4 linked regions of the Nothobranchius furzeri genome follow. The protein of the gene in region 3 binds, or shares a complex with, the protein of the main gene of each other region. Links are inferred from orthologs where the notes say so. Each region holds a gene or a part of one and is shown on either strand. Other genes may lie near its edges. The genes, in order: lamtor5, lamtor2, fnip1 and flcn.

Region 1 (4,153 bases), on a different chromosome or scaffold from region 3:
AACATAATTAAAGCAGTGGTTCCAAAAGTTGGGGTCCCGATGGCCCAGTGGTTCATGGAACACTGAGTTCTGGCTGTGGAGATGATCAATCACAACCTAAAAATACTGTTTGAATATAACTGATGTAAAAGCTAAAATAAGCCTTGAATCGGACTCAAAACCGTTTGTATTTGTATTTATGTTATTTAGACTTTTGAGATAACAAATTATATCTGAGATTGAAAGTTCGCAGCAGTAATTTTAAATAAATAAATATTCAGGAGCTGTCATTGGGTTGGTAAAATGTTCTGAAAGACGAGATGTTCATTTACCAGAAGATGGCAGCACAACGACATAAATAAAATCCCACAGTTGGTTGACTTCCTCCCTCTCCATCCTCCATGGAGCCTCCGTCCACTAAAGAGGACATTGGCTTTTTAATTTTTTATTCTGTAGTTCAACTTTGGACCCGTTTTTAATGATGATGGGGTTATTTAAATGTCTACGAGGTTATTAGGGGAAATTAAAAAGGGCTTGGAGTCTCAAGAAAATATCTCAGCTGCCTTTTGGGAAAGAAATGAACAACATTCTGGAATCTAATGCCAAGAACCGAGCATGTTCAGTTCAAAGTCACAAATGGCATTGCCTTTGGTAAGTAAATAGAAACTGGAGGAACCAGATAAGCGTACTGGTTTTAGCAACCGCGATGAAGGCTCGGACCCGGATGCTAATAGCTGCTGGGAGACAGTGAACCACTGGATCAGATTCAGAACCCTGAGTCTCTGGTTCTGATCTCTCTCAAAAAGCTTTTTTTAGAGTAATTGATCTCCGTACACATTAATCAGAACCCCCAAAGGTACATCTTAAATACCCCGAGATAGATTTTTAAAAAGAATTACAAGTCAAGCTAAAACCCGGTCAGTGCTCTCACCCTGACTCAGACTCCAGGCACACGGTCGGGGTGACTGTTGGGTCTCTGGTGAGCGCCATAGCTTGTTTGGACAAAACAGACACAACACCACCATGTTCATCAGACAAGGAGCCACGACCTAAAAGAAAAAAGAAAAGAAACACGCAATGAATTATTTAAATGTCTTAAAAAAAGGAAATCAGTGCATCTTTCAAACAGTCATTTTCTGTGATTTGTGTTAATTCCAAACCTGTATACAACAATGACCTCCTTATGAAGGATTGTTAACATATTACAAACATTTCTGTCCCACTGCTGTTATTTAGTCCAGACTGAGGATTTCTGAATTCTGGGGTCTCTCGAGGATCTGAATCATGTTGAACTCATTGTTTGGTTTCTGTCTTCTGCATCTTTTGACTATTTCATTTAGGTTTGTCCATGTACCAGGGAAACATTGCTACTGACTACACAAAACAATACTCATGTTTACCCACTTCCAACAGTTACATCATAACCTTTTCAAAATAACTTTCAACAAGACCTAAAAAGATAATAAAAGTATGAGGACGCTAACAAAGAGCTTAGACTTTGCTGGATGCCTCTGTTATAAATATTAATTAAACCGAACAGAAAAAATATATATACTGATATATCCATCATTTTTCTTCCAATTATCAAAGTCTGGGTTGCTAACAGGTCCAGGAGCGAAGCTCAGATTTCTCTGATCTCAGTGACTCTCCATCTCCATCAAGACAGCTAGAGGGCAGACAGCCCCTCCAGCAAGTTCTATGCTCCAGCAACCGTCAAGCTGTGATTCTTCAGACCACATGATACCTGTCAGCTGCTGCAGGAGTCCTCTGGGAAGTAAAATAATTACTTTATATTATCATCAGTTGTTCTGCTTTGTGTTTCATTGCACAGCTGATGAAAATGGACTGGATATGTTCTGAATTCACAGCCTAAGTAAAATTTAGAGCATGTTCATCTCCCTGAAGTTTGATGAATTGTAGAAGAGATCAAAGTTCAAACTAAACCATGGAAGCCAAACAAGTAACACAGAATCAATTCCACGGAGTATTCACTTTCCCAATGACAGTAATTGTTGTATGTGAATAATGTTCATAAATGACCTCACTAACTAACTGCGTGGTTATTAAGCATTTAGTATTTATTAGTTTATGAGTAATAATCAACAATAAACAATTATAAGCATCATTTTGGATTGGTTGTGTTTAGAGAATTATAAAAACATTACATTTTAATTTTAATTATACCTCATTAGCCTTTGTGATTAAATTTAATTACAGCAGCTTCCTGTTGACCTGTTAAACAGCCAGAAGAGCTCATTCCATCAGAAATGCTAATCTCATTATGCTAACAGTGCAAACACTGTGAAGATTTTCTGGCATGTGAAATAAGTTGAGATTTTAATGGTTGAAATGTATGATTCACAGTAACTTCAACTATACTGTAGTATGTATTTCAACCTTTACAGATGAAAATAGCTAAACTGAAGGAAATAATATTATTTGTGTGTTACATTAATAGCTTTTGCTGCAACTAAGTTATTTCATTATTCAAAAAAAAAAGAACACGACACTGACGTAGCCTTGTAAAAGCTAACTAAACCGAATATGTTTCATACATTTTGCTGTAAATCTTTTTTAAATTAATCTTACAGCCCAGGTTGTGTCCTTGGTGATCTGTGCAGAGCACACCGACAACTGCTGGATTCTTCATGCTACAAAAAAACAAGGAGAAAGGCTTTAATGAAACAAAAAGTGAAGTACGTCAGCAGTTAGAGTGAGATTTTTAACGTACGTGTCATCGAGATGCTGTTCAAGAGTCGACTCCATCGTTAACAAACGAAAAGAGAGAAGGTTTAATTGTTTACAGTTTCATCGACGTTTCCGGTTAGAGTCAGCTGACCGTCACGTGCGCTACGAGTCACAACGAGGACCAAAAAGTGTGACGCGAAAGAGAAAGAGAGAGAGAGAGAGAGAGAGAGAGAGAGAGAGAACGCAAAATCTTTCCATTTACATTACATAAACAAAATAGGCATAGATAGATAGATAGATGATTGATAGATAGATAGATAGATAGATAGATAGATAGATAGATAGATAGATAGATAGATAGATAGATAGATAGATAGATAGATAGATAGATAGATAGATAGATAGATAGATAGATAGATGATAGATAGATAGATAGATAGATAGATTGATAGATTGATAGATAGATAGATAGATAGATAGATAGATAGATAGATAGATAGATAGATAGAAAGAATTAGCATTTTCCTTCAAGTTTTATTAAATTTTCCAATAATAATAATAATAATAATAATGTTATGGGCGGCACCACCTCATCCCCCGTCACACTGAACACTGGTGCACCGCAGGGGTGTGTGCTGAGCCCTCTCCTGTACTCACTCTACACCTACGACTGCACGGCCACGAGAAACTCCAACATCATTGTGAAGTATGCGAACGACACCACAGTGATAGGTCTCATCACCAATCACGATGAGACGGCCTACAGGGAGGAGATCAGCGCCCTGACCCACTGGTGTCAGGACAACAGTCTCACCCTCAACGTCACAAAGACAAAGGAGATGATAGTGGACTTCCGGAGGAGCAGAGGAAGCAGAGGAATACACCCCCCCATCACCATCAACGGCGACGCTGTGGAGAGGGTGAGCAGTTTCCGTTTCCTTGGAGTTCACCTGGCAGAGGATCTTACGTGGTCAGTGCACACGGAAAATACAGTGAAGAAGGCACAGCAGCGCCTCTTCTTTCTCAGAAGACTGAAAAGATTTGGCATGAGCCACCGTATCCTCAGGACCTTCTATTGCTGTGCCATTGAGAGCATCCTCACTGGATGCATCTCCACCTGGTATGGCAACAGCACCGCTTACAACCGCAAAGCTCTCCAGAGAGTAGTGCGGTGTGCAGAAAGGATTATTGGAGGTGAGCTTCCCTCCCTCCAGGACATCTATAAGAAGCGGTGCCTGAGGAAAACGGGGAGGATCATCAAGGACTCAAGTCACCCCAGCCATAAACTGTTCAGACTACTTCCATCAGGAAGGAGGTTCTGCAGCATCCGGTCCAGAACCAGCAGACTGAGAGACAGCTTTTTCCATCAGGCCATCAGACTGCTGAACACTTCACAGACACCTCACCCTCACTACTGAAACTCCAACATTACACATTCCATACTGTACATTAATGCCACTGTTTTGCACATACCAGCCTCTATATA
Region 2 (4,004 bases), on a different chromosome or scaffold from region 3:
AACTCCAGGTTTGGGTGATTAAAATTTTTATTTTGAAAGCTGAGACTTTCTTTATCTGGCTGCAGGTGAGAAAGTATATTTGATGCTAATGCCTCAAGAGAAAATCACTAACTGGTATCAATTAAAACTCATTAGTTGATTAAATGGAGTTAAACAGAATGCACATGCACTCGTGAGTTTTCTTAGCTTTTAAGTTACCCAGATCTTCTGACTTATTAAAAAAGGTTTTGTTTTTAAAGTATTGGATACTGAAAGAGTGAAAAGTTTCATCAGATTTTTGTGAAATCTGTGATTACTGAAAGAAATAAAATTATCTGGTGATGAAACTCAAAGACAAGCAAGGTAAGCTTCTCTAAACCCGCAAATTCTCCCTTTCACAAGATTTTCAGAGCAAATTTAAGTTTATCTCACCTGATACTGCATATTTAAAATTGTTTAAAAACGTTCAGAGGTGTATACGAGGGTGAAACACACCCAACCGTCACCAGCTCAAAGCAGGATTTAAAAGAATGGGTGACTCTGAGCCAGTATCTCTCATTTATCAAACAACCTTGACATAAAACACAAGTAAATAACAATCTCAACTGCATTTTTCAGAAAGATTCATATAAAATCTCCACACACGTTTTTATCATGATGTACATCTGTGACTCCTAAAAATGTTCAGTTTCACATTGAACAACAAAACTATGACCGAATGGACCGATTCCAAGTGAAAACTGAAAATGGAATCACATTTCAGCTGTACACACACACACACACACACACACACACACACACACACACACACACACACACACACACACACACACACACACACACACACACACACACACACCCCTCCATTTAGAGACATGGCCCTTTGTACACTTAGTGTTGGACAGGAGGGTTACAGCAGTCCACCGATGACCTGAACAGCTGATTTCTTCTTCAGTTCAGACCAACAGAAGCGTTGGTCGGATCTTCACTACGATGCGGCCACTTGAGTCAACGGTTCCTCCAGATACTGAACCAGAGCCTCTGCCTACAAACACAATAAAGCACAATTACTGGAAAAGATTAAATCTGGTACGACCTTTAAACTGATCAGAAACTTCAGCCTCAGTTCAGATTTAGCTGGGTTCTCCATGAGCTGCTCTAGCTGGACAAACCTGATGAACCTCATCCACGTGCCTCCCTGGGTCACTCTAAAGGACTTCCTGTTTTAAACAGTGGAACAGAAGTCTAGAACCACTCAGCACATTCCTCAGAAATACTAAAAGTGGTTTAATCTGTGTTTAAATGATTAGTTTCAAATGATTTGCACATTCAATGGTTTATTTAATGATCTGCCCTTACATTTTAGCCCTTTAAGTATAAAACGTTTTAGTTAAGACTTACGTTTAATATATGTGAACAGAATATGTCAATAGAAAGTGTTGAAAGGGTTAAAAGCAAAGTTAAAAGCAGTTTTCTTTGCCATCCAAACAACTGTTGTAAAATAATGCTTTAAACTCAATTGACAGAAGAGCTCCAACACATAAAATCTTTACCAATAAAAAGCAAAACGTGGGAAACAATTAGAAGAAAAGGCCCCGAACTCTCACCTTGGCTTTCAGCATCCCGAATCCCACAGTCTCTTTGGCATATATGCACAGCAGCAGGTTGGCTACACGAGTGATGGCCACTCTTCCCTCCTTAAAAAAAAACAAATACACAGAAGAAGGTTACAATTTGAGGTCAGCCTAATGTTTTAGCCTGAATCGGAGCTGTGTTTCTCACCATACAGTCCATGAGGATGAAGGTAAGCTTGTCTTCGTTGAAGGCTTGGTGGCCATTCTTGTCGTAAGCTGCCCAGATGTTGCTGGCGATGGCAGCTGTTACGCGTGCATCGGTATCTCCATAACCAGAGTAAGCCAGGAGGGAACCTTCATTATTCAGCAAGCTGAGAGGATAAACACGTGACACATACTAAGACAGCCTACTCATAAGTTATCTGTGTTGTTAGAAATAATCTTGATGTATGTTTAGATGGTGCAGCTAATGCCTCATCATACAATTAACATTTAGAAAGGTTGACTATTTTAGACACTAATGTGTAAATTAGAAATATTTTATAAATCATCTCATTGAAATTGATCATTATAAACCGAGGTATTTGTTAGGATCTGTTGCAACAGCGTTCTAATCTGTGACATTATAAAAACAGCTACGATAAAAATCATTAAATGCGCAAGTTTTACATTCAAATAACTAAAATTATGTCTTTTAAGCATTAAGAGTTCCCAAAAAACAACGCTTATTTTTCTTTGGGCGAGCTTTCCTTGTACAAAAAACGATAAGCAGCTAAGAGTCAGAGTAAATAGCATCTTAGCATCTCGTTAGCTTGTCGCTAACTCGTACTTACAGAGTGCTCTGGACTCCGTTTGTGTTCGCTTGGCTGAGGACCTGCGTCAGAGCTTTGGGTCGCAACATCGCTGTCGACCTCACCAAAGAATAAAAACGGTTTTAATAATAATAAGAAAAAAACACGAAGTATTTTGATAGTATGTTGATGTACGTGAAGAGCAATGCGTCCAGGCAGTCAGCTGACTTGTCTTTCCGCATTTCCGGCTTCCTTCGCATTGCACTTTGGGAAATGTTGTCTCGCGGTCGTAACTAAAAAGGATTTTCATTGGCCGTGCTCGAGTTGATGGCCTCGCCTGGAAAACAGACGAGAGCAGACGGAAGCAGCAGGGGGAGTGGCTGAAAGCCGGCGTTTAGGTCGGACACAATTTCCTGCATGTGTAGGATGGCTGAAGATATCGCGTTAGAGTTACTTGTTTAATTTTCAATTTTAATTCTGGTGCCTGTTAGCAGCTGAAACACATCCTCACGTGCTTGTGGATATCATGTATTGTATATGAAGACATGATTGTAATAATAAGCAGTGTTGGGAACGTTACTTTAAAAAAGTAATTAGTTATAGTTACTGATTACTTTGTCAAAAAAGTAACTCAGTTACTAACTGAGTTACAAGATCATAAAAGTAACTAATTACCAACAAAAGTAACTACTTAGTTACTTTTTTCATTAAAGAATGCAAGAATTACTACAATAGTAAAATATAAATGACTAATGACTGAACATAATAAAATGTATGTCCAAATGTTTTATATAAACCTGAATAATTTAAACAAATATGCACTTAACAGGAGGAACTACTAATAGGAACATTACACTAATCTAGACTATTAAAAGGTCACTGTGTGATATTTAACAAGACCCCAATCAGCTAAAATTTAAAATTGCAAATAGAAACACCTGTAAAGGTTCCCGAGCCTTTAAATGGTCTCTCAGTCTAGTTAAATTACAGAAATAAATGTAATTTTGCACAGTATTCTAATTTTTCCAGCTTCACATAATTGTGTGTTTTTAGCAGCATTTCTGTTGCTGCTAATCTAGTAACGGTTAAATAAATAAATAAATATCCTTTAAAATGACACTAGAAGAGGCACAGATCTGATGGAGGACTTACATTTACTAACTTGGGTCAGACCCAACCACAGAAGAGCTGAAGCTGGGTGGTGAACACACACAGTTCTGATAACACCTGAGCTCCATGACGTCTGAGACTGATGCATCAGTGTTACAGCGGGACTAAAGACATGATCAGAAACAGGTTACAGCTGGATGATCTAGGAAGGTAGAAGATCAGGACGTCTGAGCGGACCTTCGGGACGTCCCGCTGTCACGCTAAGAAGGGCACGGCTGCAGACCCGCACCTGCAGCCGTAGATATTCATCACGTGTTCCTCGTTCTTCACGGGCCGTGACGCACTTGGATGAAAACATCTACCTCTTTAGCTCCTGATCAGCTGATGATAACAGCTTCAACACACCGCGCTGCTTCACGCACGCATTTTCTTATCAGTAACAGAAACGATGTTTTGATAAAAGAAGACGGTAATTAATTAGTTTGCTCGTTACAGAAAGAAATATTTTTATTAACGTGGTTATTTTAAACGGAGTTATTCCCGTTGTGTC
Region 3 (4,080 bases):
AATGGAGAGCTTATGCCAGAGGTATGAAGAGCACAGCTGACCACTGAGTTAACAGAAACGCCTGCTGACTGTCTGTTTGCTCTAGGACTGATGCCAGCCACCTCCACCCTCCCTTCAGCCCACACACACAGCCTTTACATCAGTGGGTGCAGGGCACCTTTACAGCTGCAGAAATGTTATGACACAACATTGGTCAACGTGCAAGAAGCACCGCAAAGGAGGTGCACTTTTTGGATATAAATATATATCCAAAATAACATGAAAAGATGGCAGCAACATCTTTCAAAATGAAAAGGCATTTGCAACTCTAAAGTCCGTTCTCCTTGGTAGCATACCTGACCCTGAACATACAAATGTGCAAATTAACTGAGTTTCCTAGTATTACGCTAACCTTCTCAAAGATGCATGGTTCTACCACATTAACTATTACCTCAATAAATACTTATACAGCTTAGTACTGGTCTTAGATATTCTTCATTTCATATGCAGCATGCGCATGTATTCTGCTCTCATTAAACACCTTTGTCCCCCAAAGTATCATCGTTTAATTGAATGTAATTAACAGGAATAAAATAAATGGGTTAGGCCTGAAAAATATCACAAGAACTCAAACATTTGCTTACAATTACTTGAGACAATGCCACTGCAAATCGGTGAAATGGCAAAAGAAAGCATGTAAATAACAGATTAATATAACCATAAAATTAGGGCTTTTGTTTAATTATATATTCATTAAAAAATTCTGGCTAAAAAGACATTTTTTAATGATATGTACATTGGCATACATTCATTGTTTGATTAGACAGGTAGAAATGACAAAAGTCAAATGGAAAATATTATTTGACATGATTACCCAAATCATCTGCAATTTGTGTATTTATTGAGATAGAAGCAAAGGAAGTAGTCTTTTTTGCAGGTTTAAACACCTTCAGAGGCAGAGAGGTTTATTAATTATTATTATTATTATTAAGGTGCCTGCTGCTCTGCCAGTGGGCGGGTCCCTTTTCAAATAACATTATTATTAATAACAATATAATAATGTATTGTTCTTTTTGATTTGGCTGCTTTTTAACCGAGGGCGGCATTAGGCCCGGCTACTTGGGCTGAAGCCCCGGATGTTTTATGAAAAGCCCCTGATCTAAATCGCGGAAGTAACATGCAGTACCAAAGTCCAACAGAGAGGGAGCAGCTGGCAGTAGTTTGTATACAGCCTGCCTGAGCCTCCACTACTGAAGAAAAAGCCCTTCAGCAGCCGGCTTCTTCTAGTCTGCCTGAAACGCATGTGTGAAGATGGACATAAGGACGTTTTTTAGACCAAAAGTACAACGACAGAACCCCAGCTTTGATGAGACTGGTGTTGACTCAGGTTTGTGAGTCTTATTTGAAAATATTTGTTGTGCTGCTGGTTTGCCTAAAGTTAGCTTATCAGGTAAAGTTGTTGGAGAAAGAAAGGGAATATTTACTATCATCTCACACTAACCATTAACAGGAACAATACTCTGCCCTGAATATGCTTAATAAGTAGCTTCAGATTAAAAATTATGTGGTACAAGACAAATATATATGTTGACTAGTGCGTGTCATGTGTGTGCGTGTGTGTGTGTGTGTGTGCGTGTGTGTGTGTGTGTGTGTGTGTGTGTTAAGCCCCGGATCTTCTTCAGTCCTAAATCTGCCCCTGTTTTTAACTAAAATCAGTGGTCTCTAAAAAGATTAAAAACATGTATTTCAGGGAAAAAATACAAATGTTCAAACTGTTATTTTTAACTGCCTGTTTATTAAACTGAAAAAAAAAGCCAAAAATGTTCATCAAAGCAGTTCTTTTATCTAATTTTAGGGCTAAAATAATGGAAACATTGTGATTCCAGGCAATAATAAATATAATGAAAGCACTTCAAACTCGAAATTATATTTTTTACAAAATTACTTTGGAAATGAAACGTGTGTGAGAAGCAATATTTAATTTTCCTTTAAAATATACATAACGTTGTGAATGACCTGCAGGCTGATGCCCTGTTTGGCATTGATCCGTGCCTTGGTGGCCAAGTTGAGCCATCACATGCTCTCCGCTAGAGCACACAGTGTCCTCCACTGTTGTCTAACCACACAGCAACGTCTGCAAGGCTGAGAAAAGCCACTTATACCAATTTATTCATGCTAGCTAGAGATAAACTGCCTGTATCGCCAGTAACAACAAAAAACTCGAGCGGAAACACGCGGAGGAAAAAAAACAAGGACATGCCTCTGCAACTTCATAGCAATGAAGTGGAAAACGACACTTTCCAGACAAGGCATTTTGTGCTAACTTCGTATCAACTGCAAACGATGAGGGCTTTTTGTTTAAATCGGCTGTCGAGGGAAGCTACTAATGCAGCGTGGGCAGTAGCATTGCTAGGAGCTATCGTTAGCACGTTAGCTTCCTCACCAACAACAAGCACGTTTCCCACGTCTCCAACCGCTTTCCTTCACCAAGGTTTAAATTTCTAAAGGATAAAGATTTTTTGTGTACACCCCAGCCGGCTAAAAACAAATCAAGTATCACTAGAAGACCGTTAAACATCCACACAGGTTAACAAATTACACAATTTTAGCGCAATTAACGTTGCACACAAACATATTTACAAACACAAAACAGCTACCTGAAAGCGGGATCCCCTTTGCTACATCTCGGAGGCGGCGACGAGACTGCACTTCTCTTGTTGAAAAGTTTCTGGAAGAGAGTCGGAGGCATTTTCAACCAAAAGAAATTCTCTACAGTTTTCTTTTGTTTTTAAATCCGAGAGGAAATCTTGTTCCTTGTAACTGTCTCCATGGGTGTCAGAGTCATATGACAGGCATTAGTCACAGGAGCTGCTTAGTAACCCACTGCTTTTTTGTGATTGGCTCAGCAGGCGTGGTAGCTGCAACAAATTACGTGATTGGCTGATATTATTGGCTGGGTACCACGTGGTTAGAGGGTTCGCTGTGTTGATGTTTGGTCTGTATGGCAAGCCAAATGAGCATTTATTCTGATATCAGGATATCAGCCAGAATTGTCATGAACATGTAAGCCATTTCTGTCCACTAGTTAACTAGTTAGGCATGTTTGTGTCAACTAGTTAAATATCGAGGGTGAAAATGTGCCCACTAGTTAACTAGTGGCAGCAGAAATGCGCACTAGTTAACTAGTGAACACATTTAGGCTTCAGTAGTTAACTAGTTGACACAAAAACTGCTCACTAGTTAACTAGTAAAAGCAGAAATGTATACCAGTCAGCTAGTTGAAGGTATTTGTCTCACTAGTTAACTAGTGAGGGTCAAAATGTGCACACTAGTTAACTTGTGGTAGACATAAATGTGCACTAGTTAACTAGTGAACATATTTTGGCTTCACTAGTTAACTAGTTGACACATAAATGGCTCACTAGTTAACTAGTAAAGACCAAAATGCACACCAGTCAGCTAGTTGAAGGTTTTTGTGTCTCACTAGTTAACTAGTGATGGCCAAAATGTGCACACTAGTTAACTTGTGGTAGACATAAATGTGCACTAGTTAACTAGTGAACACATTTTGGCTTCACTAGTTAACTAGTTGACACATAAATGGCTCACTAGTTAACTAGTAAAGGCCAAAGTGCATACCAGTCAGCTAGTTGAAGGTTTTTTGTGTCTCACTAGTTAACTATTGATGGCCAAAATGTGCACACTAGTTAACTAGTGAAGGCTTAACTCCTAACTAGTTAACTAGTTGGAGTAGGTCAGTGCCACTAGTTAACTAGTGAACCATTAATGACTCACTAGCTAGCTAGTTGATGGCAGCAGGCTCACTAGTTACCTAGTTGATGCATCCATTGTCCAAACTAGTTAACTAGTGAGGACATAAATGTATACTAGTAAACTAGTTCAAGTCTACATTCACACTAGCTAGCTAGTTGCGCAGCATTCTAATTAGGAGGCGGAGAATTTCTCAAATTAAGACTCTCTATTGGCTCCCTGTGTCAAAATAAAATATGACAACCAATCACAGTGCGGAATTTCGTAAAATCCCACCCCAAACATTTGCATGCGGCACACAAGTTAACATGCTGGCCAGAGGAACCTCAG
Region 4 (4,263 bases), on a different chromosome or scaffold from region 3:
TAAAAGCCTTTCTTCTACCCTTTCTCAGTGGCCTAGTGGTAGAGTGTCCTGAGACTGGGAGATCAGGGGTTCAACTCCTGGTCGGGTCATACCAAAGACTGAAAAATTGGGACCCAATGCCTCCCTGCTTGACACTCAGCATTAAGGGGTTGGATTGGGGGCTTAAACCACCAAATAGTTCCCGAGCGCGGCTGTGTCTGCAGCTCACCGCTCCCCCAGGGGATGGGTCAAATGCGGAGAATAAATGTCACACACATACCTGTGTGTGTGACAACTAATGGGACTTTAACTTTGACTTTAAAAGAATAATAGATGTCTGCGCCGTTGCTAGACGCCATTTTTTAACTACAGCGTTGCATGGTACAGTCGGCATGTACGTCTTTTTTCTCATTGGTTATTTTTGAGCTGTCTAGTCCCGCCCCTCAAGTGCCTCTCCGCCTGTGAGTTACCAGACTCTTTGTGCAGAATTAAACAGAGGACGAGTCTGGCCGGCCAGGCTAGCTATCATCTACATTACCAGACAAATATTTGAGATCACTTGAAAATATCATGTTTCTTTCTGCTGCGTGCCAGAACCCTGTTGCGCTGATCTGGGAACAGCTGGCCCATAGGGTATATGGGGGGGGGGGGGGGGGGGGGTCGCATTAGATAATCTGCTAGAAGGAGACACCCAGGAATGTCTGTGGGCTGCCAGGCTGTGACTACTGCAAAGCTGCTCTGTGGTTTTTGAAGAAAACATTGATCATTTCCATTAAATGATTTAGAATCATGTAAAAAAAAGGTTTTTGTTTGGACATTTATTTTTATTTTTTATCAATGAACAAAGTTCATTCCACAGTCGTGTCTGGGCCGAGCCCCAAAAATTCTCCAAAAGTCTTTTAATCACTTTCTAAATCTCGACAAACCGGGGTTTAACTGTGAAGTGGTGTGTCATGTTTTCCTGGATCAAATGCCTTTCCCGATCGACTCTGTGATTCACTCTTACGGATTTCAGGCTGACTAGTTGAACAAACAAAAACACTAGCCATAGCAGTGAATGTCTGATGAAATCATGTCTTTCTACCTGTTTTTCTCTCAAGAAGAACCAGCGTGTCCTCTGTTGGGGCTCCTTCAAGGAGCTTTTCTGTCAGACGACAACCACAGGCTTTCAGTAACCTAAAAAGGAAGTGAAAACACACATCAGCTTGGTAAGTCATAAAAGTAACGTGGAGAAATCACAATGGCTGGCTATTAAAAGTCTATCTCAACTCACCAGCTGAAGGAGCAATGCAGGCTGGCCCAGAGATTGGGATGCTGAGTGAGAGAAGTTAGCGATCGGGCTGCGTTGCCACTTCTTTGATGTGGAAAAACCGCAGGAGAAAACACGCTGTTCATCCTCAGAGCTCGCTGGGGACAAATACCCTGTTCAGTGTCAAACACCTGATGGACAAAAAGATGGCAAAACAGCACAAACTGACTTATTAAAATGACAAAGTGTTTGTCCAGTAAAAAAAAATGAATGCACAGTCTACATTTAGGCTCTACCTTTAGAGCTGTGCTTTGCAGACTTTGTATAGTGAGTTTGAGGTGTCGTAACAGGAAAGGCCAGGAGTTGATGAGGTAGATCCTGTCCATGGCCACTACAACTATACTGTACCAGCGCTGAAACCCACGGGCCAGGCTGTCCTTGATGAAGAACGTGTGTGAGAACACAAACCCGTGTTGTTCATCACCGAAAAAGATCGGCCCTTCACGTCCAGGGCACACCTGAAACCCAACAACAAAAAGACTCGCGTTTTTGGAGGAGGGGAGGTTAGAAAAGGTCCTCCTCAGTTAGATCAGGTAGAGTTTACCTCACAGCTGAGACTGCGTACACAAGCCTGACGAACTACACTGAAAAGCTGAGACTGTCTGGGGTGCTGATGGCTCACAAAGCGAATTCCTGTTTCATCATCGATGCTCACGAAGCCTGGGTGAGACGCAGGTAGAGATCGGCATCCCTGTGAGGCATGGACAGGAGGGAAAAGGAGAACTTCGATTACAGGATTATTAAATAATGTTGCTGCTCTATCTTCTTAAACCATAATGAGTTGTGGCGGGTGGCTGCTCATACTGAGCCTGGCTCTTCTGGGGCTAAAAGGGAGTTTTCCACTCCACTGTCGCTACACACTTGCTTAGTGTGAGCACTGCAATCTGCTGAGTTCCTTTGTATAGAAATGTTTACTATGTGAAGTGACTTGAGACGACTGTTGTCGTGACTATAAATAAACTGAATTGAATGAACCTTCTCCAAGGTTTACTGTGGGTGAGATCCCATCACGCATGCCCACTCACCTCACACATCTCCCCTCTTTGAGACACAGACCCGCTGGCCCTCATGGTCAGACCTTCACCCTCCCGATCAGCATCTCTGTCCCCTGGAACCGGGGTGCCCACCTGAGAGGAGGGGTCTGGGGATGGAGGGTGTAGCGCCTCGGTACAGAATAGTGTCCGAGGGCCATGGAGCTCACAGAAGTGACACAAAGCTACCAGAGCATTCATCTGAGAAACGGATCAAGCGTTTATGAGAATCTAATCAACGTAATTTATGACATAGTTTTTATTCACAAGCTAACACCCGTTTAAGCCATTTTAACCAGCAGCAACGAGAGGATCTCACCTTTAGCACTGAGAGTTAGACTGGAGCTCGCTGCTGCTTCACTCGTTTGTGTTAAAAATGTATAAACAACAAAAGCGTGACGCTAAATCAAATATTTCGTCTACATGTCTCGTATAAAACGCGCGAATTCAAGAGAATAAATCCTCTCAGCACTTTCTCGTCTCAGTCTCGAGTTGTTAGCAAACAGCACAGTCACGTGACCTCGAGTCACGCGCTCGGACACAAATCATGACGTACGTCACGGAGTTGATTAAGTTTAATCATAATTACTATTTTATGATTTATTTAAAATAAAATAATGTCGTCTGTGAGCAGATAGTTTTCATATGGGAAAATGTGTTGCTAGCATTTGACTTTACGAAGCGTGTTTCGTCGAAAGACAACATAAAACTACATTACCCAGAGTTAAGTTCGAGGAGGGTAAAGGTTACGAATGAGTTGGTCAGCGTTTCTCTAGAGTGCTAAAAAGTACGGAGCTACAGAGGACCGTGTGGTAATGTACTTTTAATAAATATAAAACACCATTTCTTAAAACGTTTGTATTTGTGATTTAAATGTAATTAACATTGTATAATGTTGAATTTACAGCATGTGTGTTTACTTTATTAGCTCATCAGTAACTTCCGTGTTTCATTGTAAAGGAAAAGGCAAAGCCCAACAGGGACGTAGGAGCCTTTCTGAACTGGGAATGGCGTCAGACGGATCAGGAGTTCCCCCAGAATCCGCAGTGGACGGTGGAGGGACCCCCCCAGCTGAAACTAAAAGTAGGAAAGATGCCCAACAAGCCACGAGAGGTAAATGCCTGTTTTAGTGTTTGTCTTTTCTCATGTCTGTCATTCTCTCTCTCTCTCTCTCTCTCTCTCTCTCTCTCTCTCTCTCTCTCTCTCTCTCTCTCTCTCTCTCTCTCTCTCTCTCTCTCTCTCTCTCAATATATGTATATTTATATGTATATAAATATAAAAAAATCTGTATTTCTCTCTCTCTCGCCGTCTTTCTTCCCTGTGTCTACCCACCTGCCAGTCATGTTGGTCAGATTTGGTTCTGTTGTCTGAGTGAGCCTCCAGTGACTTGGCCATCTTCACCACAAGTTGCAGTCACTTCCTGTTGCTCTACAGATGCATCTTGTCAGTAGGTCACTGGTAATGGTGACAAGGATGGAGAGGGGACTTTTCAACCACAGCCTTCTGCTGAAGTGACTCTTCTGCAGTCATGTGTGGTGTAGAGTTGAGCAGAGATGCTCAGTGTGGTAGCCCCCTAACCATCTCCACATTCCAAGTGGTCGAAACAGGAAGATCTAGCAAACAATGGCTCTGAACTAGCAATGCAACTGCTTTGGTGGAAAACCCCTAACCTCACCTCTGTAACATGTAGCTCACCTCAGTAGCTCAACAGGTTGAGCGGGTTGTCCAGTAATTGGAAGGTTGCAGGTTCGATCACGGCTCCGGACAGATAATTCTGCTGTTGTGTCCTTGGGCAAGACACTTAACCCACCTTGCCTGCTGGTGGTGGTCGGGGTCCGGTTGCGCCTGTGCTCGGCAGCCTCGCCTCTGTCTGTGCGCCCCAGGGCAGCTGTGGCTACATTGTAGCTCATCCCCACCAGTGTATGAATGTGTGTGTGAATGGAT

What was found.
Region 1: fnip1 (region 3) and lamtor5 share a complex: the UniProt entries of both Homo sapiens proteins name them as parts of the lysosomal folliculin complex. The link is inferred for Nothobranchius furzeri from reciprocal best matches to the Homo sapiens genes FNIP1 and LAMTOR5.
Region 2: fnip1 (region 3) and lamtor2 share a complex: the UniProt entries of both Homo sapiens proteins name them as parts of the lysosomal folliculin complex. The link is inferred for Nothobranchius furzeri from reciprocal best matches to the Homo sapiens genes FNIP1 and LAMTOR2.
Region 4: fnip1 (region 3) and flcn share a complex: the UniProt entries of both Homo sapiens proteins name them as parts of the lysosomal folliculin complex. The link is inferred for Nothobranchius furzeri from reciprocal best matches to the Homo sapiens genes FNIP1 and FLCN.

Annotation. Positions count from the first base shown.
Region 1 is NC_091755.1:27,982,297-27,986,449, reverse strand, and holds the start of lamtor5 (ragulator complex protein LAMTOR5), read right to left. Parts: upstream 2,853-4,153; 5' UTR 2,746-2,852; coding exon 2,711-2,745; intron 2,631-2,710; coding exon 2,569-2,630; intron 1,029-2,568; coding exon 911-1,028; intron 1-910. UniProt on the Homo sapiens protein: As part of the Ragulator complex it is involved in amino acid sensing and activation of mTORC1, a signaling complex promoting cell growth in response to growth factors, energy levels, and amino acids.
Region 2 is NC_091745.1:61,225,394-61,229,397, forward strand, and holds lamtor2 (ragulator complex protein LAMTOR2), read right to left. Parts: upstream 2,672-4,004; 5' UTR 2,455-2,671; coding exon 2,387-2,454; intron 1,925-2,386; coding exon 1,762-1,924; intron 1,677-1,761; coding exon 1,587-1,676; intron 1,025-1,586; coding exon 968-1,024; 3' UTR 526-967; downstream 1-525. UniProt on the Homo sapiens protein: As part of the Ragulator complex it is involved in amino acid sensing and activation of mTORC1, a signaling complex promoting cell growth in response to growth factors, energy levels, and amino acids.
Region 3 is NC_091750.1:58,896,515-58,900,594, reverse strand, and holds the start of fnip1 (folliculin-interacting protein 1), read right to left. Parts: upstream 2,835-4,080; 5' UTR 2,729-2,834; coding exon 2,637-2,728; intron 1-2,636. UniProt on the Homo sapiens protein: Binding partner of the GTPase-activating protein FLCN: involved in the cellular response to amino acid availability by regulating the non-canonical mTORC1 signaling cascade controlling the MiT/TFE factors TFEB and TFE3.
Region 4 is NC_091745.1:76,768,634-76,772,896, forward strand, and holds the start of flcn (folliculin), read right to left. Parts: upstream 2,846-4,263; 5' UTR 2,639-2,845; intron 2,521-2,638; coding exon 2,314-2,520; intron 1,980-2,313; coding exon 1,833-1,979; intron 1,747-1,832; coding exon 1,525-1,746; intron 1,420-1,524; coding exon 1,253-1,419; intron 1,156-1,252; coding exon 1,064-1,155; intron 1-1,063. Other genes in the region: leng9 (leukocyte receptor cluster member 9), read left to right, coding at 3,327-3,432. UniProt on the Homo sapiens protein: Multi-functional protein, involved in both the cellular response to amino acid availability and in the regulation of glycolysis.